4 linked regions of the Caenorhabditis elegans genome follow. The protein of the gene in region 4 interacts with the protein of the main gene of each other region in a pairwise test. Each region holds a gene or a part of one and is shown on either strand. Other genes may lie near its edges. The genes, in order: T04C9.1, smo-1, itsn-1 and figl-1.

The links.
Region 1: the proteins of figl-1 (region 4) and T04C9.1 interact in a two-hybrid assay, tested with the Caenorhabditis elegans proteins (2 studies listed by BioGRID).
Region 2: the proteins of figl-1 (region 4) and smo-1 interact in a two-hybrid assay, tested with the Caenorhabditis elegans proteins (3 studies listed by BioGRID).
Region 3: the proteins of figl-1 (region 4) and itsn-1 interact in a two-hybrid assay, tested with the Caenorhabditis elegans proteins (2 studies listed by BioGRID).

Annotation. Positions count from the first base shown.
Region 1 is NC_003281.10:5,991,528-5,996,222, reverse strand, and holds the start of T04C9.1 (Rho GTPase-activating protein 26), read right to left. Parts: upstream 3,005-4,695; 5' UTR 2,950-3,004; coding exon 2,796-2,949; intron 2,719-2,795; coding exon 2,623-2,718; intron 2,038-2,622; coding exon 1,748-2,037; intron 1,339-1,747; coding exon 1,239-1,338; intron 834-1,238; coding exon 772-833; intron 722-771; coding exon 647-721; intron 588-646; coding exon 509-587; intron 1-508. Other genes in the region: T04C9.2 (uncharacterized protein), read right to left, coding at 3,993-4,343.
Region 2 is NC_003279.8:1,338,890-1,341,809, reverse strand, and holds smo-1 (Small ubiquitin-related modifier), read right to left. Parts: upstream 1,133-2,920; 5' UTR 1,108-1,132; coding exon 1,042-1,107; intron 986-1,041; coding exon 885-985; intron 835-884; coding exon 726-834; 3' UTR 545-725; downstream 1-544. Other genes in the region: K12C11.1 (Xaa-Pro dipeptidase), read left to right, coding at 174-455; K12C11.7 (Copper transport protein), read right to left, coding at 2,100-2,179, 2,244-2,380, 2,440-2,534, 2,815-2,920. UniProt on the Caenorhabditis elegans protein: Ubiquitin-like protein which can be covalently attached to target lysines as a monomer. Does not seem to be involved in protein degradation and may function as an antagonist of ubiquitin in the degradation process.
Region 3 is NC_003282.8:17,118,104-17,125,698, forward strand, and holds the start of itsn-1 (Intersectin-1), read left to right. Parts: upstream 1-1,578; 5' UTR 1,579-1,580; coding exon 1,581-1,730; intron 1,731-1,781; coding exon 1,782-2,366; intron 2,367-2,849; coding exon 2,850-3,311; intron 3,312-3,458; coding exon 3,459-3,683; intron 3,684-3,723; coding exon 3,724-4,360; intron 4,361-5,141; coding exon 5,142-5,512; intron 5,513-6,098; coding exon 6,099-6,415; intron 6,416-7,315; coding exon 7,316-7,595. Other genes in the region: uaf-2 (Splicing factor U2AF 35 kDa subunit), read right to left, coding at 1-296, 348-440.
Region 4 is NC_003283.11:4,340,925-4,347,867, forward strand, and holds figl-1 (Fidgetin-like protein 1), read right to left. Parts: upstream 5,076-6,943; 5' UTR 5,073-5,075; coding exon 4,489-5,072; intron 3,786-4,488; coding exon 3,354-3,785; intron 2,343-3,353; coding exon 1,712-2,342; intron 841-1,711; coding exon 703-840; 3' UTR 507-702; downstream 1-506. Other genes in the region: glrx-3 (Glutaredoxin 3), read right to left, coding at 141-383; hpo-18 (ATP synthase subunit epsilon, mitochondrial), read right to left, coding at 5,285-5,320, 5,368-5,496; mcm-7 (DNA replication licensing factor MCM7), read left to right, coding at 6,274-6,375, 6,424-6,943. UniProt on the Caenorhabditis elegans protein: Has a role in spindle assembly which acts in the progression through mitosis during embryogenesis. Required for fertility.

The sequences.
Region 1 (4,695 bases), on a different chromosome or scaffold from region 4:
TATTCTTATAGCGATTTATAATTATCGACTTTCAAAAGTCTTAAAATTAATTTTTTTATCATCGAAAATTTTTGTCCTAATTTTGCAAAATTAATTGTGAATTATCTTTCAAAGTGGTTACTGTAACGCTACAAAACTGTTAAGTCTCTTGTTTTCTTTACTATCATTTTATTTTTTTCTAAATTTAAAACCACATTTCAGTAATTTTTTTAGTGAAATTTTCAAATTTCAGGCCAATTGAAAAATTGAAAATAATTTTTGGAAAAGATTTTCACAATTGAAACTGGTAATTTATTTTTTGAAAATATTAGTTAGATTTTTATAAAAAATAACAAAATCGAACGAAAAATTTTAATTTTTAAAAGAGGCTCTCATTTTGTGAAAACCGAATATTTTATTCATAAAATAATAATTTTCTGGTTGATTTTTTCTAAAATCGAGAACTTTCAGATGCATTTTTTCATTTTGAATTTTTTTAATAAACCAAATTTTGTATATAGAAACTTACTCGGAATTTTGCTCTTTTCCTGCATATACACGTATCCTTGTTTAATTGATGGCGTCGGTCGTCGATCTTCAGAACCCGGCTGTAATTTCAATAAAAATTTGCGATGAATATGAAATTCCAAAGTATGAAAAAACTTACTTTTGTATGAGAAGCCAACAGTTTTTTCTTAAGCTCTTCTGCCTCAGCATTCGTTGCATTATAATTTTCCTTTGTCTGAAATTCGATAAAATTTCGATCTGACGGGGAGAGTTTTTTAAACTAACCTTTTGAACTTTTGTTTGTACATTGTCAAGGAATGGTTTGAAATCTTGATGAATCACACTACCTGAAACAGGAAAAAGTTTTAGAAAAATGCAAAAAAAAATGATGTGTCTGGAAACCAAATTTAAAAATAATAATGCCTTTTTGTGAGTAGTTTGATTTTTTTTTCTTCATTTTCGATGATATTTCGATAATTTATAGAAAAAAAATGAAAAAATATATTTTTGTTTAATTTTTAATTTTTTTTTCATTCTGGTCGAAATTTTACATGAAATCCGAATTTCTGTAAGTGAAATAGAAAAGTTTGTGATTTAAAATAGTTAGTTTTATTTTCAAAATTATAATCGAGACAAAGTTGTCGAAAATCTGATTTTTCAAGTAATTTCTATTTTTTTTTGTGAAAAATATTCAAATTTATAAAATTTGTATAATCATTCAGAAACTTTTTTTTACCTGTACAAATACTTACCAACATGAAAAAATGAAAGCCACGAATAAACATAAGATCCTAATGTTTCGACAAACTCGAACCGCATTCGTTCTTGAACTGATTGAACTTCTGCCACATACTGTAAATTTTTTTTATTTTTTATTTTTGAGAAATTATGTTGAATATACTTTTTAACTGAAAATAGCAATTTATATTGTACTATTTCCAACGGCAAATTCTTAAAAACTTGAATTACACTATTTAGAAAAACTAAAAACGAAAACTTTTGATTTTTTTAAATTCTGAAAAGGCAGAAAGTTTTTTTTTTTTTGAAAGAAATTTTAAATTCGCAATATTTCAGAAAAAAAATTTTTTTTGTTGATTTTTTTTAATTCGAAAAACCAAAATTCCTTCGATTTTCCAAAAAAAAATTTAGAAAGAAATTTTAGTCTAAAAATAGAAAATGGCCAAAATTTCATTAATTCTGAAAATTAAAACACAAATTTTTTCCAATTTTATAATTTGAAGACAACTTTATAAACTCAAACCTGTAACGAAGCTTGAAAAAAGTTTTTCTGTTGAGTCTCCAATTGGGCATCAGCGGCTCGAAAATCGTTATTACGAACAGTACTCAGATGAAGATGTTTTTCAAGTGTTTGATAGAACTTGCTACTTTCTTTGTCATATTTATTCTTTTCCTCTTTCAATGTTCTACCAATCGCCTCAGTTCGAAACTTTTTTATTGGTTCCAAATAACTTTCTTCAGCTTGTCCAACAAGTTTCATTCGTTCATCTTCGACTTGATTGATCAGACTTCCGAATTCTTTTAGACATGTGGCTGAAAATGTGAAATATTATTTCAAAGACAATAAAAATATTTATGAAAATTAAGCATTTTGGTAAATTACAATGAGAATCACTTGCAATTTGGATTTTGTTAACTTTCGATAGATTTTTTGGGAGAAAAAACTGAAACGAATTTTTTTATTGAAGGAAACTTATAAAAATTTCAAAATTTCACGAACAATTCAGATTTCGAAGGTCTTTGTTGGAATATTGAAATTCGAGACAATTAAAAAAATTTTAAAAGAGAGTTCAACACTATTTTTTTATTGTAAAAAATATGACTTTGAAAAATTTGGCAAAAATGAACGGTTGCTACGGCAAAATACTCTTTTTTGCTATTCCTAAAAATGTTTAAAATTTTTTTTTAACTATGGTAAATTAAAAAAAATTGAAATTTAATAATTTTAAAACATTTAAAAACATGTTTTCAGCAAATTTCGATTTTTCTTGGCTGGATAATAAAATTCCGAAATTAATTTTTTTACTGCGAAATTTTTTTAAAATAAAAATGTTTTGTACTTTTTTTTTTAACATCGCGTATTTTTTTATATAAATTTTTGCTAAACAAAAGTCTCACCAATAAACCGTTCATCATCTGTCTGATTTGTTCCGACTGTTTCAAACTTGAATTCACTTAACGTCTTTGCGAATGCTCGTTGTGCTGTTGAAAGCTCTGCAATAAAAATAATTATAAATTCCACGCGATTAAATGGAAAAGTAAAGGGTCAAAAAGAGAGAAAAGCCACATACTTTTTGTGCACGCAATCAGCTCCTTGCACTGATTCTCAATGAGCTTGATGTTCTTGAAAGCGTCGTCCAGTGCCACTTCGTGATCATGCAAATTTTGTCGAAACCACGGAGAATCGGATATCGAGTCCGAAAACTCGAGCGCCCGTAACACCATTTGTGATGAGCGCAGAGTCCTAAGTAGACGGGTTTTGTCTACTGGACAAGGTGTCCTGAAATTATTTTTGATTGGAATGATTTGCAGAGATTTTCAAGAGAAAAAGCCTCAGTGATAGGCAAACATAGAGAAATGAAAAGAAAAAATTGTCTCAAAATACCACAATTTTTTCTGAAACATGAAGGAAAAGATGAGTAGAATGAGGAGAAGAAGTAAACAATTAAAAGAAAAGGAAAGAAGAACTCGCGGGGGATATGGACAAGCGAAGAGAAGAAGAAGAAGAAAAAGAAGCAAGAAACTTGATACTTGAGGCGACGAAGGAATATCTATGAGTATCTATCTATCTGCTACATGAATTCTGACACTACCAATGGAATTAGCTGATGAACCGAGCAAGAATTGATATGGAAAATGAGAAAGGTAATCAGATAAATGAAATATAAAAAGAAAATCCATCACATCATAAATTAGAATAATTATGAAGCTGCCAAAATAAAACTTCCAAGTGTGACCTATTTTACGACAAAACATAGCGTACACCTTCACAACAAATTGTCTAATCGTGCGGGAATCAACGCACATCCGGAGGATTGAAGAGGTTGCAACAATCCTGACGATGACAGATAAGAATCAAACGGCAGTGCGTCCCTCCTACGTGTAATTCTTTCGTTACCTAACGATGCGTGAGCTTCGGTTTTGAGCAAGTTCGGGCACGTCGAAAACACGAAGGCAGCCGAGTGGAAACAATTTTCGAAGAGCCCCTAACCCGGCTCATAAAGAAGAGAAGCTGGAGGAGAGAAGATGCGAGAAAAGTAGTTGTTGCTTGTGCCTCAAAAAGAAAGAAACCGAAGATGACGATGTGGGTTCCAGAAGATGATAAGGATGGGGCTAATAATGATGATTAGGTAAAAAAGAACGGAAGTTTGAGACGAAATAGAGGAAAAGGAGAAGAGAAGTCATGGCTCGGATGAGGACGAAAAAAATGTTGGAGCGACCAACAAAAATAACCAAATTTGTATAGGAGCCGAAACAAAGTTATCGCGTTATTTGTGTTGTGGCCATGCTGTTGTGTGCCATCGCCAAAGAAGGAGAGGCAGAGGAGAAGGACGAGGACTCCAACACAATTCGTCATTTTTTCTAGCTTTTCTCATTTTTTCAAAGAAGAAGGCGACGACGACGACGACAGTGATGGCGTTTATGGATGGAAGGGATGACTCTTGCCGTCTGGAACTTGTCGATCCGATTCGAATCGAAAGGAAAGGCGGACGACGACAGCGGCAACGGGAAGCAGCAATGCGGAAAAGAACAATTCTCCGGGGGGAATGAGTATATATGGGAAGAACGAGCAGTAGAAGAATGAGCGAAGAGAAGGACTGCTTCTTCTTCTTCGTCATTTTCTTTGCTCCGCTCTCGTCATTGCAATGGCACAAATACATACACACACTTGCATCCGTCCTTTCGTCTTTAGAATATATCCTAAAACGAAACACTTGACAATATCAACGCTTTCTAGTTTTTCTCAAAAAATTCGAATCATAGAAACGAACGGATGAGTCGCGGCACGGCGAACGTCAGAATATTCGAGTGGTCGACGGAAAGCGATTATGAAGAGGAAAGAAAAACGACGACAGCGGCGACGGAGGAAGAAGTAGGGGAAGAAGAAGAAGTTGACGACGTCACAAGCGGAAGAGATGGGACCGCGAAAAATTGAAGAGAATGAAAAGCAGAAAAAGATAGAAAAAAGTA
Region 2 (2,920 bases), on a different chromosome or scaffold from region 4:
TCCCACGGGAGTAAATTTTTCGGAAAAATCGATAATTTTTTGAGTTTTGAGCTGTTAAAGCATGCAAAATGCCGAAATTTTATCGAAAAGTAGAAAAATTAGCCCCGCGGAGCTGGAAAATCCAGAAAACCTCAATTTTTCCGAATTTTCACGTAAAAATCGATATCTTCCAGGCAATCACCATCGAACCCGGCTGCTATTTCATTGATTTCCTGCTCAACGAGGCGCTCGCCGACCCGAAAAAGAGCGAATTCCTCGTCAAATCCGAAATCGACAAGTACCGCGGATCAGGCGGCGTCCGTATCGAGGATGACGTCATCATTCGTGCTTCTGGTAACGAGAATCTGAGCGATCTTCCACGAACCGTCGAGGAGATCGAGAACTTCATGGCTAGTGGAGGCGAATGGACGGAGAAGGTCATCGAATCTCGTGTCTCTGATTTCTTGTCCAAGTGATTTTTTGTCTACTGATTCTAATTTATCATCATTCCTACTACTATTACTGTGTTATTTTTTCATGTAAAATAAAATTTAATTTTTAAAAATTTGGGATTTTCCGAAAACGAAGAGTTTATTTGTAAGATAAATAAGTTATTTTAAACTTTTTTGGTTGTATAATATGATTCGAAATGTGGAAAATAGATTAAATGAGACAGAGAAACCGAGTATCTCAGTGGAAAAGGGATGGATGGGTGTTTGTTTTCGGATTAGAGTGTAGGTAGAGGACTAGAATCCGCCCAGCTGCTCTTGGTAGACCTCGATGACGTCATCGTCCTCCATCTCGAGCGTCTTCGGTGTGTCATCGTCGTTGATGCGACGTCCGTCGAAGAGGAAACTGCAAATATTTAAAGTTGATAGGAATTGGCGCGGATTTCCAAAACTCACCGAAGACTGTTGACGGCGACACCGGTTCTGTCAGCGTACGACTTCTTCAGCTTGGCCATAGAGGTTCCATACTTTACACGGAAGTGCACTTCGTTGCTGTCCTGCAATTTTTTTGGGAATTATTAACAAATTCGCGGCGAATTTCCAGTCAAATTACCTGTCCAACGACCTTGATCTTGATGTATTCGGCGTTGTCGCCTGCTTGAGCTGCATCATCGGCCATCGTTTATAGCGGGAGTCTCTGAAACGAAATTAGATTTGAAAAGAGAAAAAGAGATAGAAGGAGAGAGGTAGAGTTGCTATGGAGAATGCAACTCACACGAGTGAAAGGTATTAAGAGTGCAGAATGATGACTTTCTAGGGTATTTATATAGACGCTGTAACAAATAAAATCGATAATTACAGAACAGCTGGCTGAGCCACAAGATGCTTGAAAAATTAGGAATATCGATTGTCTGGGGAGCGCTGCGCTGAGAATTTCAAGAATATCACTGCGAAATTCAGAAAAAAAACCCATTTTTCTCAAGGAAATCCTTTTTTTTAGGATATCCAGTTCCTATCAAGTTTTCTACGTGGTTTTTCAGCGAAATTGACGAAATTTAGAAGCAAAACTTAATTAAACGCATCGCGACCGGAGAAAGAAGGCAAAAATAAATGAAAACACACGAAATGAGCCGAAAAATCGGGCAATACGCGCCTAAAAACCTTTTCGAAATGATTTCCCGCGTTGCAGAGTGTGCATGTTCACGCCGCGGTGTTTGCACACAATGCACCGCATTTCACGAGCAACACGAGGGTACGGTAGATTTTGGACAGGTTTTTGACCAAATTTGGTGCTTTTTGGACTGAAAAAATAAGAGATTTCGGCCTAAAATAGATAAATTGGTGAATTATTTGAGTTTTCAACGAAAAAAATGTTTTGAACAAGTTTTCGGAACAAAATTCAAGGTTTTCGCTTGGTTTTTGAGGAAAAACTCTAAAAATACCGTTTTCCAATATGTAACAAGGCAAACTGGATTTTAAAATATAATTTTAAGCTAAAAACTACAAAAACAATTGTTAATGAGCATTTTAGGCCAAAAAGCGATCGATTTAATTCGCGCGGTATCGTCAGGTCTCATCGTGAAATTGCAAGCGCGCTCTAATGTGAATATCGATTTTTCTTTATTAAAAATATATTCAAATTTAATGCTTTATACATATTTATGAAATCAATTAAGAACAGCAATTTCCAGTGTTTTCGACCTCCTTAACCGTCATCAACGGGCCAACGAAGAAATATCCGATGGCGTGGCCTAAAATTTACGAATTTTAAGCTTTTCTTCTAAAAATTCAAAAAAAAAAAAAAATAAATAAAACCTGCTAAAAGCGAGAAAAATAGCGGATAATTATATGTCATTGCTACCAGCATCAACGAATAATCCACAAAATTTTGAAGAAAAAATAGAAAAGAAGACGCAAAATGTCTCCAACTTGAGATGGATTCCATTGTAAATCTGCAATTTATCACCTTTTTTCGGAATTTCGTATCCTGGAATATTTTAAGCCAACTCACGGAGCCAACGATGCCAGTTTGCCACGTGGCGACGGCTCAGGCTCTTCCGGAATCTCCCAAATGCCTTCAGGCGTTGAGCAACAGCAATCGACGGCCTACAATTTTTTTTTTGGAATTCAGGAATTCCCGAAAAATAAAACACGGGTTTCTGGCTTCCCTCATAATTTGAAATGGAAGAGTTTTTGCCGAATTAGGCCATTTTGGCTCGGCCATATCTGGCGGCGCGTAGCGGCTCAATTTTAGTTGAAAAACTAAATGTGATTTGTCCGTGTGGAGTACACGACTTTCCCGTCCGGCAGGCGATTGTCAATGGAGCGCGAAAAATTCAATGAGGAAGGCCAGAACCCCCGTGATAAAATTTTAACAAAAAATCACCAATTTTTCCTTCACAGTTCTCGTCATTCTTTGCCTTCCGAATTTCAGCAATTCCAGGCAAAACGCGATGAAAAATAGGGAAATACAGGAGAAAACGTAGCCTGTG
Region 3 (7,595 bases), on a different chromosome or scaffold from region 4:
TCTTCCTTCATAAATTTGACGTATACGTTTCCGACCATGTGTTCTCCGATATTCTCACAAACGTTGATCTCCTCCACTTCTCCATATTTTCGCTCCATCTCCACAAAAACCTCCTCGTAGAAATCGTCAAAATAGCGCTGTTCCTGATCATTCCGCTTGCCGACTTTATCGAAAGCATCCGCCTGACGGACATCCACTACCGGATTGTGGTAGAAGTTTTTGAGCACAACTGTTGGCGAGAATGTCGGTGTATGATGGGCTCTGGAGCATTTGTCTCCGTGGCGGCAGGCTCCTGTCTGCAAAAATTATTTAATTATTGAATTTTTTCACAGAAATCCACAACAAACCTTGAAGAAAAACGAGCAATTGACTTTATCCTTCTCAGTACCATAGATTGAGGCCAGGTACTCGGCTCCGGAGAGCCCGTCACCATACGACATTGGGATTCACTAAAAAAAATGATTTTTGACGAAAAATTCAATTTCAGCGGGAAAACCCTGAGAATTACGATTTTTAAACACAAATTCTGACGGAAATACTTCAGAATACAACGTAAAACTCAAAATATCAAGAATTCAATGCAAAAAACAAACTGCGAACCTGAAACAGATAGAAAATGGAAATAATAACCAACTGCCCTGCTAAATTCGAAAACGCAACGAGGCACGCTTTTGTGGGCGGGGCGAGCGTCGGCAAGGTGAGCGCGCGCGTTTTTCTAGCGTTTTCTCTATTTTTCTTTTTTTCTCCCATGACCAGAGATTAATAAATAAGTTGAAATTTAAGTGAATTTCTCTTCAATTTTCCGCGATTATACCGATTAATTCATGCACCAAGGCTGAAAGAACATTTAAAAATCAATTGGAGCTCAAAATTATTTGGAGAAAACTCAAGAATACGAGATTTTTCACTCTAAAACTAAAATTTGTTCTTAAAATGCAAAGTTTTAAATGAAAAAAAAAACATTGATTTTTTTAAATATATAAAAAAGGGGTTTTTGATTCCTTTAAAATTCTCTGCGTCTCTTGCATCTCTCGCCGCGCGCTCTCGGGGACCACTCCTCTTTTGGGGCACGCAAAAATCGATAAGCTTTCGGCGGCGCTTGGCCTCTTTCTTATTTCTTCTTATTTCTCAGTTCCTGAATCCAAATTTACAGAAATTTCGGCGCATTTTCTCTTTTTGTTGCGAAATTCGCATTTTTAGCGTTTTTAATCGAAAAACCCCCAATTGACAAATCCGTGGGAAGTTTACATAGAAATTTCCAGCTAAATTAGGGAAAAATCACGAATTTTAGCCAAAAAATTACATTTTATTGAGCCGCCTCGCTCGCCGGCCGCGCCGCGCCGCGGCCAATTTTTACAGAAATGGCCGAGAGGGAACCTAGGCCACGGCCACGACCGCGACGCAGCTGGCGAGCGGAGCGGCTCAAAAAAATCTATTGTTTGCCCAAAAACATGTGTTTTTTCATCATTTTCGCTGATTCTTCGCATAAATTTCCAGTTAAATTAGAAAAATATGGCTCGTTTTTTCCCTTTTTTGTTGCGAAATTCCCATTTTTTGTCGAAAAATCCCCTGTTCTCCAGATGACAAATCCTTGGGAAGTTTCCGATGCCGAATATCAGAAGAATTTCGCAATGTTCGGCCAATTAACCGGAGGACAACCGTTTATGGATGCGGTCACTGCACGAAATGCACTAATGCGCAGCAATCTGCCAACGCAAGTGCTTTCTCAGGTTGATATTAAACTTTAAAAAAAAAAATGTTTTTATTCAAACAATTTCCAGATCTGGGCGCTGTCAGACTTGGATAAAGACGGCCGGCTCGATATTCGTGAATACTCTATCGCGATGCGACTTGCTCTGAATTGTCTTGCCGGAATTCCGATTCCTCCGCAACTTCCGCCTTCCCTGCTGGTAGTTCCCGCCAGAAATGCTCCACCAACCTGGCCTGGAAGCCGGCATGGCAGTGTAGACTACTCACAAACTCTTCCACCGGCCATTGATCGTCGAATGTCGCAGTCATACATCCCATCTGCACCGGTTTCGATTGCCGGAACTCCATCTAGCAGACACAACTCGATTTCAGCTGGAAGCCCTTTGAATAATGATCGCAATGTCTTCGAAGGCCGGCAGCTGGAAAACTGGGCGATTCCTCACCACAATAAATTAAAATATTCTCAATTGTTTAATGCTCTCGACAAGGAACGTCTGGGCTCCCTGAGCTCACAAGTCGGACGGAGTGCTCTCGGGCTTTCAGGCCTTCCTACCAATGTTCTCGCGCATATCTGGTTTTTGTCAGATGTGAATAAGGATGGAAAGCTATCAGTGGATGAGTATGCGATTTCTCAGTATATGATTGAAATGTTCAAAGTATGTGTTTTGTTACCGGCCAGAAGCTCTTTATTCAAAAATTGCACTTTTTCCATGAAAATCCAACTTTTCTGATCTAAAATTGATATAAAAATGTAGAAAAAGGTTCTTTCCATCTGAAAATATTGTATTTTTCATGTTTTTTCAACAAAAATAAGGAATATTTTCAATTTTATTTGTCAAAAACTTGGAATTTCAAAATAAAAAGTCAAGCCACGTGGACGCTCCTCCCACTTTGCAACATGCGGCGCGAGTTTTCGCAACACTGCCGCACGGTTGTATTTTCTTCACGAATTATAGTTTTTCAGTGAATTTTACAGGATTTTTCAACGTTTTGCTTGTTTTTTTCAGCAAAATTTCATGTTAAAACGCTGAAAAATCTCAAAATTTCAAATTTTTCTGTACGAAAATCGGAAAATACCCTAAAATCATGAAACACCATAAAAATTTCCGCTGAAAAACTTAAAAAAATTTTTTTTTCAGAGTGGATTCGCGCTTCCAAAAATAACCCCGCTGGAACTTGTCCGGATGTGCGGAATCTCATCAAGATCAGCCAACAATACCCCTGAACTCGAACCAGGAGCGGAGCCACCACAAAAGTCACCAGCTCCGAAAACTTTTGAAGATAAGCGACAGGATAACCTATCTAAAGGTCAGGCAGAACTGGAGAGACGACGTAGAGTTCTTGAAGAAGAGGAGCAACGAAGACGAGCAGAAGTAGAGAAGAAAGAGAGAGAAGAAGAAGCGAAGAAAAATAGAGAAAGACAAGAAAAGGAACGACAGGCTGAAGTTGAGCGGCAAGCTGAACTAGAAAGACAGAGAATAATTGAAGCTCAACGGGAGGAAGAGGAGAAGAAGCGGAGGCTAGAGATGGAGAGACGCAGAGAGGAGGACGAGAAAATGAGAAAAGTTCAAATGGAGAAGGCGAAAGTTAAACAGATGCAGGTACAGATGCCTGAACAGAAAAAATGGAATTTTTATGTGGATTCTAGGCGATTTTTTGAGTTTTTCTTTTGAAAATTGAACTTTTGGAACACAGAAATTTTATTTACTCATGATAAAAAAAAACCAAATTTAAATCCCTAATTTCAGAACCAGAAGCAACAAGAGAACGAGCGTCTTGCACAACGTCAGCAACGAGAAAAAACGCTGCAATTTCAATTACAAGCACTTGATGAGAAGGTTATCGATGTTGAAGTGGACATTGGAAAAGCCAAAGAAGCAGTAGCAGAAGTGACTGGATTTATTGAGAGAATGAGATCTACGAGAGACGAGAAAGTCGCGAGAATTAAAGAATTACAAGAGACTAATCAGAAGGTAATACGCGTTTAATCTATATGCAAATTACCCAAAAAAGTTCCAGACAGCTATCGAATCTCAAGAACTCGGCCATCAGCTTCTACAAAAACAGTCGGCTCACAAGGAGACAACGCAGAGAAAAAGTGAACTAGAAGCACTGCGAAGGAAACGAGATGCTATTCGAAAAGCTATAGAAGATGCCGCTCTGGAATTATCCACAGAAAAAGAGAAATCGTATAATCAGACGGAGATTTTAAAGACGAATAAGGAAAAGTATAAGACTGATGTTTATTCGAAACTTGTCGCAAAACGAGAAGAATATCGAAATTCGTTTGAGCTTCTGGTTCATGCTCAGACACATGCCAGGAGCAAAATTGGGGAATTTGAAGCGAAATCTGCTCCAGCTTCAGCTGCTCCAGCTCCTGCTCCTGCTCCAGCTCCTACTACCACCAACGGATTCCCTGCAAACTTCAACGATGCATTCGGAGAATTCGATAAAACCGATGCAAGTCAACGTTTCGACGCGGATTTCGGTGCCACGTCGACAGCGGATCCATTTGCTCAGATTGCTCAGGCGCCAGCTCATTCGAAGGGTGCTGTTGATCAATCGGCGTTCAATATTCATGACACTTATAAGTGTCGAGCTCTTTTTGCGTTTGAAGCAAGATCCGAGGATGAGCTCAGTTTTGAACCAGGTGCTGTCCGAACAGCAATATGTCCCTTTAAATGGCCTTTTGTTGTGTAGATTTACGAGCTTCTCCGGAAAAAGCTCGAAATTTCGGAATTCGTAGGAGAAAAAGTTTGGCATAAAATTCAGGAATTTTTAAATTTTTCCAAAAAAAAATCTGAAAAATTGCAAAATTCCACTAAAATCAAGGAATTTATCTAAAATTTTTAAGAGTTTTTCCAGAAAAAAAGCCAAAAAAAAAGAAAATTTCAATTTTTTTATTCTTATCTCTCATTTAAAATGACTTATTTAATATTTTTGAAATAGTTGCATGGAAAACAAATTAAATGCATAAAAGATGTGAAAAATTTCAGAAAATTTGAATTTTTTCGAAAAAAAAAACTGAAAAATTGCAAAATTCCACTAAAATCAAGGAATTTTACTCAAAAATTCTCAAACTGAGCTGAAAATGATTCCAAAAATTTTGAAATTTGTAGGAGAAAACGTCCAAAATTCAGGAATTTTTAAATTTTTACGAAAAATTATTGGAAAAAAGAACTATTTTTCCGCAGTTTTTTCAAAAAAATTTTGAAATTTTTCAAAAAGTTTGGATTTTTTCGTTTTTGGCAACAAAAAAAACCATCACTAATCAATGTTTACCTAAAAACCCCGTTTTTGTGAAAAAAAAACCCTTTTTTTCCCAAAAAATACCAATTTTTGTCAGAAAAAACTTAACAAAAAGTGTCATTTTTGACAAAAAAAAGGCAAAAATTCGAGAAAAAGTTAATTTTTATTTATTTTTCTTCTAGGAGACGTCATAATCGTCTTCCAATCCCATGCAGCTGAACCAGGATGGCGTGCCGGTCAACTTCGTGAGAAAGTCGGATGGTTCCCAGAAGCATTCGTCGAAGCAATCGCAGCAGTACCTACTCCAGGCGGTGATCCACCTATTCAGAATATGCCACCAAACATGACGCCGAGCTCATCAGTAGATCAAATTGGAGTGAAAGCGGCGCGGAAAGCGGAAATCGCAGCGGCAATGGGATTGACAGAAGGTGGTGCTCCACCTGCTTCAAGTGCTCCAGCAGCAGCAGCAGTAATATCTCAATGTATTGCACAATTCCAATGGAGAGCACGTAATGAGGAGGATTTGTCATTTGCAAAAGGAGATACAATTGAGGTGGAGAGCATTTTGCTGCGAAAAATCCAAAAATTGTCTGAAATTCTTGAGCTTGAACCTGAAAAAAATGAGATTTTACAAGTTTTCCGGCAGAAAATTTGAAAAATTTGAAGTTTTAAGCCAATTCTTAGGAGTTTTCAGCCTATTTTCCTGCAAAAACAGCTTGAAAATGTGATTTTGACGAATTTTTGAAAAAAAAATTGGATTTTCGGTGAAAAAATCGATTTTTAATCTATCTTTCAGCTAAATTGTATGATTTATAAAATAACCTTTTTTCCCAAAAAAAACCATTTTCCCCATAATAACTCTTTTTTCTAAAAAAAAACCTGTTTTCTACCAAAAAAAAACCCATTTTTATCAACAAAGGAACCCAAATTTTCAACAAAAAAAACCTTTTTTACCCCAAAAAAACCTATTTTTCAGCAAAAAAATGAGCGTGGTTTCTGGGGAATTTTTCCAAAAATTTGAAAAAAAATTTAGGATTTTATTCCCATTTCTTCTTTTCACGATTTTTCTTGAATTTCAGACTATTTTTTTTAGATTTTTGAAGGTACACCTTAACTCGAACTAATAACATTAATTTCAGGTACTAGAAAAGCAAGAAATGAAATGGAAAGGTCGAAATCCTGCCGGCGAAATTGGATGGTTCCCGAAAAGTTATGTGAAAGAAGTCGGAGCAACCACCAGCACCACGACTCCGATTGTGTCTCCTTCGAAGGCTTCTGCAGGAGCTCCAGGAGCAGCAGCAGGAGCTCAATACGACGTGGTACCTTCCGATGTGACATTACAAGCCTCCGAAACAGCCCCCCAACAACAACTTTACACTGTGATCTACGATTTTGAAGCTGTCGAGACAACAGATTTGGCACTGCATGTCGGTGACACAATTCTAGTGCTCGAGAAGTAAGTGGAGAGAGGAGCTCTCGCTGCTCTTGACAGGAGCTCATTTGGAATTGAATTTTTTCATTTTTTTGATAGCTTTTCGTATTCTTGCGCTATTATTATTATGCTTAAACGAAAGGTTTCGGGGTATCAATTTATTACATTTTGAACCAAATAAGCCCAAAATTTTTAAAATAATTGTTTCCAATTTTGCAAGGAAAACCCTATTTTTGGCAAAGTAACCTCAAAAAACTATTTCTTGTCCAAAAAAACCTTTTTTTTTTCAAAAAAGTCTAATTTTTGTCAGAAAAAAATCCAAAAATGTGTCGTTTTGCCAAAAACACCAAAAAAATTCCATTTTTGCAACAAAAACAGCTAAAAAATACATTTTTCCCCAGAAAAAAAATCATAAAACTCAGTTTTGCCAAAAAAAAAAACCAAACACGCGTCATGTTTACCAATAAAACTTTTTTTGTTTTAAACCGATTTTTTCAGAAAAAATCCAAAAGTGTCATTTTTAACATTAAAAAAACCTAAAAAGCTATTTTTTCAAAAAAGGCACAATTTTTCTTACTTTTGCCAAAAATGTGTCATTTTCGTCAAAAAAAACCCTGAAAAAAAAACAATTTCCAAAAAACACAATTTTTACCGAAAAAAAATTAAATTTAAAAACCAAAAAAAGCATATTTTCTCAAAAAAATTAATTTCTCCACAAAATTAAAAAAAAGCCCGACAAAATCCAATTTTTGCAAAAAAAAACCGAAATACTCTTTTTTTTCCAAAAAAACTTCATATTAAAAAAAACCCCAAAAACCCAAAAAACTTGTTTTTTAGCCAAAAAAAAATTACTTAAAAACTGAAAAACTGACACCAAAACAAAAATATCAATTTTCAGTGATTTAAATCAAAAAATAATTTCAGAAACGATGAATGGTGGAAAGGGCGTTGCAACGGACGTGAGGGTATCTTCCCAGCCAACTATGTCGAGATATCAGTCCAGCAGGCAGGGGATCCGACTCCACCAACTCAAGCTCCAACTCCAGCGGCTCCACCAACCGTCCTCTGTGAAGCTAAAGTTGTCGTGGATTTTGTTGCATCGGCGCCAAATCAATTGGGAATCAAAGTTGGCGAAATTGTGAAAATTCGTGAAAAATCAGCAGCCGGCTGGTGGGAAGGCGAGCTGATTCGAAATGGAAAACCA
Region 4 (6,943 bases):
ATGATTTCAAAATGTGGTTTTCAGTGGTTTTTAACGTTTTTCAATGACTTTTTTCCTAAAAAAAAGTTCAGAATAAATCGAAACTTTTCTTTGTTTTTTTTCACAAATTTCAATTTCTTGTTTTTTCGTTGCTCACTTACACTAAAAAATACAAGCGTCGGCGCAGCAGTAATCTTGAAATTCAACGAAATTCCGGGCAAAGCTTCAGCGTCAATGAAGGCGGCACGAAGCGGCAGAGCAATTTCAGCGAGCAAATCATCCAGTAGCTGATTAACTTGCTCACAGCTTGGAGCCCACGATGCGTAGAAATGAAGAACAGCTGGAGATGGTTCCTTAATGAACGCAGCAACCTCCTCTCCTGACTTGATTTCTTGAATTGGCATTCTGGAATTTTTTGGCTGGCAATGGTAAAAAGCTAGAAATTTGAATAAAAAAATTAAAAAAATATACGAGAAAGGTAAAATAAACCTTGAAATTTCAATAATGAATAATGAAAAATATGTTTAAAAATTGAAAATATATAATAATTTTCAGAAAAAATATAAAAAAAAACAATGAAATACGGATCGTTTTGAGATCATAATATAGAAAAGAGATGGAATGCATAATACAGGAGAAGATTTCAATGAAAATAAAAATAAATAAATAGAAGAAGTGGATGGAATTATAGTACACATATTCGACAGCTCAATTCTGAAGGTCTCAACGGGATATTGAAGGAGGTGGAAGGCAACCGAATTTTTTGTCCCAAGCCGCGTAGGCATCCAATTGAGAATCGTCGACTGTTGGCCGAACGACACGAGCTGCTTCGGCGAAATCCATTACAGTAACGGCACGAATCTGAAATTTTCATCGATTAGTTGATTAAAACCGGAGCATTTGATGTTTCAGAGCTCGAGTGTTTATCTAATTTTTATGATGACCGAGTGCAAAAATAGAAAATAAATGTGACAATTCGTACGGCAAATGGTAAATAAAAAATAATAAGATTCGTCAGTCATGTGAGAGAGTTGCGAAATTGTTTGTTGTTGTGGCATGACATTTCATAAATTTTCGAAAAGTGTTCATTTTCGGAACATGGAGGTGTTTTATTATGTGGACGGAGGAAAATGAGATTTTTTAAATTGAGGTGCAATCGCGCTCTAACGCTAAACATTGGGTCTCGTTATGTATAAGAGGAACATTAAATTTATATAATGCGTATTGTGCAACATATTTGACGCGCAAAATATCTCATAGCGAAAACTACAGTAACTCTCTAAATGTCTAATGTAACTCTTGTGTCGATTTACGAGATTCATTGTTTCGAAAATCGTACCCGTAAATCGACACACGCGCTACAGTAGTCATTTAAAGAATCACTGTAGTTTTCGCTACGAGATATTTTGCTCGTCGAATATGTCGTGCAGTACGCATTCTCCGAATTCAGTGTTACCGTAATATTGGCGGCAAATTCAAGTTTTTAATTCGATTTTACTGAAATCATCCGTTTATATGCATTTTTTGATTTATTTTCAGTTGCTTTCTGGTTTTCATGCCGAAATGATTCTTGAAAATGCACGTGAAGCTTCGATATTAACGCATAATCAAAAGCAATGGGATTTTTTTTCTTCCTAACGAGACCCAGCATTATGAGGCGGGGCAATTTCAATTGGCCGTGGAGCGCGATTACACCGATCACAAGTGTTTGATATTAATTCAGAATCCTCACATCATCCTTATCAATCGTCTCAATATCGTCTCCAATGTCTCTGATAGGACCCATCGCTGCTTCAGTGCACAATTGCCTCATGTCAGCTCCAGAATAGCCGTCTGTAAGCTCTCTAATCCGCTCCAAATTATGATTTGTGATATCATGACGCGTGCCTACAAGTAGATTCTGCACAATTTGTGTGCGCGACTCTGGCTCCGGAAGCGCAATGTACAGTCGCTTCTGGAAGCGTCGACGAGCAGCTTCATCCAACTCTTGTGGCCGATTTGTGGCACCCAATACAAGAAGCCGTTCATCTGGAGCCGTATTCACACCATCCAACTGTACCAGGAACTCTGTCTTGATGCGCCGTGAAGATTCGTGTTCCGATTCCGACCGGGATGATAGTAACGAGTCGATCTCATCGATGAAGATAACACTCGGAAGTTTCAGACGAGCAACTGAGAACAGAGCACGAACAAGCTTTTCACCTTCTCCAACCCATTTTGAGGTTAACGACGATGCTGAAATATTGAAGAAAGTGGCTTTGCACTGGGAAGCGACACATCTCCCGATCATTGTTTTTCCGGTTCCTGGTGGTCCGAATAGAAGAACACCTTTCGGTGGAGCACGGATTCCGGTGAAGACGTCACTGAAAAAAATTATAATTGTCAATTAAATTTTTGGAGGATTTTTTAAATTGCTTTATTAGACTCAAAATTGTCTGAAAACACCGAATTTTATAATGAAACTTCTTGAAAAATTCTCAAAAAAAAGTTATGACGGCTCAAAAAATGGCTTAAAATTAGTTAAAATTTGAAATTTGACTTGTCAGCGGATGGAAACAATTTTTTTGAAATCACCGTAAAATTTTGAGTATACAGGTCAATTATCTTGCGTTTTCAACTCGATTTAGGTATTTTAAAGTCGATGGACGGCGAGATTAAAATTGTTTTTTTTTACCAAATCTCGCCGTCCATCGACTTTAAAATACCTAAGTGAAGTTGAAAACGCAAGATAATTACATTACATACTCAAAATTTGACGGTGATTTAAAAAAAATTGTTTCCAGCCGCTGCGACATTGACAAGTCGGTCAAATTTCAAATGTTAACTAATTTTAGGACATTTTTTAAGCCTTCATAACTTTTTTTTGAGAAGTTTCCAAGTAGTTTCATCATAAAATTCGGTGTTTTCAGATAATTTTGAGTCTAATAATGCAATAAAAAATTCGACTACACCACCTTTAAAGGAGGTTTTTTTGCGTGTATAGACTAAAAGCACAAAATAAGCGTTCAAAACCTCGTAAAAATAGCTAATTTTATCTAAAATCTCGAATTTCGTCTATTTTTCCTGTCCGCATCAGCTGAAACACTATTTTATTGAATTATCATCCTTTTTAGCATCTTTTGGTGGTTTATATCACATTTTTTCGTCAATTTAGGTTCATTTAAGTCGATAAAAAATTAAACAATTAAATTAAAAACACCTATCGGCTTTAAGTGTACCTACGTCAACAAAATAATGTGAAATAAACCACCAAAAAAAGTGGAAAAGTTGACAAAAAACGAGATTTTAACCAATTTCAGCCATTTTTGAGCACTTTATGAGTCTGAGCAAGCTAAAAACCCGAAAAACCCTTTTTTTCTCCTTTCAGAACGTACGGTCTTTTAAATGGCAGTACAACAATCTCCCGTAATGCTTTTTTCGCTCCTTCCAATCCAGCAACATCAGCCCATCCGATCTCATTGTTCACAGACATAATTTCCGATTCAATCAATGAAATGATATTTTCATCAAAGTGCTTTAGCGTTGGCTCAGCTCTCAATCCACTCATTTTTTCATCTTTTCCACCTCCTTCCGTATCCATTCCCATCGCCTTTCTGATGAGCGGATTGGAGCATCGTTTCGGGATATCCGGTGCTCTTCTGGCCGGTGGTATCCCTGCCAAGCTTCCAATCGATTGGGAACTGGATTGACGATCCAGAGGCACTTGGAACTTGCTATTCTGTGGATCCTGGCCGGCTGCAGTCGTAAATGATGGATAGAGGGTTCCGAGGGTATTTTGGATAGCTGCTCGGTTTTTCGTAGGTGCTCTGAAACGACGCTTTCATTTTTAAAAAAATCGATTAATATTACGGGAACACAAAATTCTGAGAATGCGTACTGCGCAACATATTCGACGCGCAAAATATTCTTTTTATGACTACTGTAGCGCTTGTGTCGATTTACGGGGGCTCGATTCTCGGAAAAAAAACAAAATTTTCGAATTTTGACAGCGATACTCAATTTTTCTTCGTTTTTTTTTCGAATACCATGGTCATTTTTGTGCTTATTTTTAATATTTTATCTATTAATAAATTACTTTAATTGCAAAAAACTCCAATTTTGGCGTTTTTTTGATGAGTAAGCTCATACAGGCGTATTTTTATATTATTTCCCGCCTATTACGGCAATAAACGGGAAATAGTGTTAAAAAAACGCTTGTGGAGTATTAGAGTATTATCATCAAAATGACGCGAATATTGGAGTTTTTTCAATTAAAATAATTTATTAATGGAAAAAAAATATTAAAAATAAGCACAAAAATGATAAAGGAATAGGAAAAAAACGAAGAAAAATTGAATATCGCTATCAAAATTCGAAAAATGTGTCTTTTTCCGAGAATCAAGCCCGTAAATCGACACAAGCGCTTCATTTAAAGAATTACTGTAGTTTTCTTTTTCGCTACGAGATATCTTGCGCGTCAAATATGTTGTGAAATACGCATTCTCAGAATTTCGTGATCTCTTAACGAACCTGGTCTTCTTAAAGTGCGGATTTGAAGCCACCTCGATGCCTTTCAGCGTATTTTCATGCATTTGCCGAATAAAATTCGGATCAGTTCTTCTAGCATTTGTAGGATCCACTATATCGCAGATTTTGTCTCTGATTTTCGTCACTTTATCGTCGCTTCCAAAATCGAAGCCTCGCATTGTGAACGGCTCTTCTCGGCGTTTTTCCTCCTTTGGTTTCGGAATTTCGCCAAGTTTGAAGCTGCTTTTCTCGCCAAGAAACGGTCGACTTTTGAGCTTCCGGGTGTCTTGTTTTTGTGAAAACGACACATCAACGGTTCTATCTTCGTCTTCATCAATTATTATCCCGTCTAGCTCGTCATCCAGACCATTTTGTTGAGAACGAGATTTGAATGGAGGCTGCTGCTGAGCTGAATCCGAAGGTGTCTCCACGACTATTTTTCGACGGGGTTTTCCGATAAAATACGGACTAATCCCATTGCGAGCAAGAGCCGTCGGTGGGTAAAGATCATCGTTATTTTCGCCGGTTTCGGGCCGTTTTCTCATTCCACTGGTCACATTGAGTTTTACCCGTTTTGGAGAATACATAATCTGAAAATAGTGTTTTTTGACCTGAAAACCCCCACAAAAAAATATTCAAAAAGACTGGGGTAACTTGAACAACTTAAAGGCAAAGGAATAATTGAGCTTAAAATTTATATCGTCTAATAAAATAAATCATAAACAATCGGAAGTGAGAGAAGAAAGGTATGGAATGTATCCAAATGGAATTATTCGAATACTGTTGTGCGATCATTTGTCTACTTTTGCTGCTTTCCATTTTCCCATGTGGTGATCTGAAAAATTCGTGTTAAAACTTGAATAATAAGGCGTATTTAATCACCTTGAGAGTTGCCTCTGGCTTCTTAACAGCGGCCTTTCCTCCGACTTGCTTGGTGCACTTGCGGGTGATCTCGGCAGCGATTTGCGAGTAACGCACGTAGTTGAGTCCAGCGGCTCTCCAGGCGACCATTTTCTGAAAAACATGAATAAAAAAGAAATATTGGAAAAAAGCGACTAATTTTGCACAAGAAAACAAAGAAAAACCGCAATTTTACTAATGAAATCTATCGATTTTAGCAATTAGAAAAGCTATTTTACAATTTGCGATTAAAAAACATTAATTTCATCTAAAAACAGCCAAAAATCAATGAAAAATCACAATTCTACTCTTGAAACAAAAAATGTGTCGTTTCTGCAGCAATTTATCGATTTTCGAAATTATAAAAGCTATTTTACAATTTGCGATTAAAATGTACATTAATCCCATCTAAAAACTAACAAAAAACCAAGAAAAACCACAATTTTACTGATGAGACAAAAAAAAACATTTTTTCTCAGAATTGCCTGTCGTTTCTGCAGCAATTTATCGATTTTAGCAATTATTTTACCAATTTTAATTAAAATAAACATTAATTCCATCTAAAAACAACCAAAAATCAATGAAAAAACGAACAATTTTCTTTAAAAACAGCTAAAAATGGCACAGTCCATGTCGGAAAAATATAAGTTAAAGGCGCATAGACTTTCGCACTCTGGTGGGTCTCGCAACGACATGAAGGAGGCAAACGCGCGAAATTCGAACGGACGACGCTGCCATCTGCCGCACATTCCTTCACTCTCTCGCTCATTTATTATCGGTTTTGTGCTACAAGAGCAGCTTTTTTCGCGATTTTTTCAGTTTTTCCAATTAAAAAATAAAATTTCCATCATTTCAGCCCGGCTCTATAATCCTATAATCTCACTCACCATGAAAACCACCACTTACAACACAGACTGGGCTGCCGAGAAGACGAAAATTCGCAGTTTCTTCGACGAATACTATGTGGACAATGAGGACGGATCTGGAAAGGTATTCCCGAATTTGGTGTATAAATGAGTATTTAAATTCAACTTTTAGGCATTCCCATATCGTGATCAAGTCTTTGAAATTGCTCGCCGCGACAAGCAGGCAATCGTTGTGAATGTTGACCATATTAAGGAATCTGATATTCCAGATGCTCTTGAACTCTCAGAAGCCATTACTTCCAATACAAAGAGATACGAAGTCCTGTTCAAGGACACAATTTCGGATATGATCCAGGACTATCTCGGAGACAAGCAAGCGCCAGTAATCGATGCTCTTGATGCCTACATGTTCCAGCGTCTTCATATGGATAGGAACGAGGGAGCCGCCAACGAGGAAGTTTCTCTTCAGGACAAACGCAAGAAATACCCACCACAGCTCCTTCAACGCTTCGAGGTCTACTTCACAACGGACGATGCCGCCCATGAAACGTGTGTCCGAAACATCAAAGCCACCGAGATCGGGCACTTGGTCTCCATGAAGGGAGTTGTTATCCGTGCGACCGAGGTGAAACCTTGTGTTGAAGTCATGACCTACACTTGCGATACTTGTGCCGCCGAAGTCTATCAGCCTG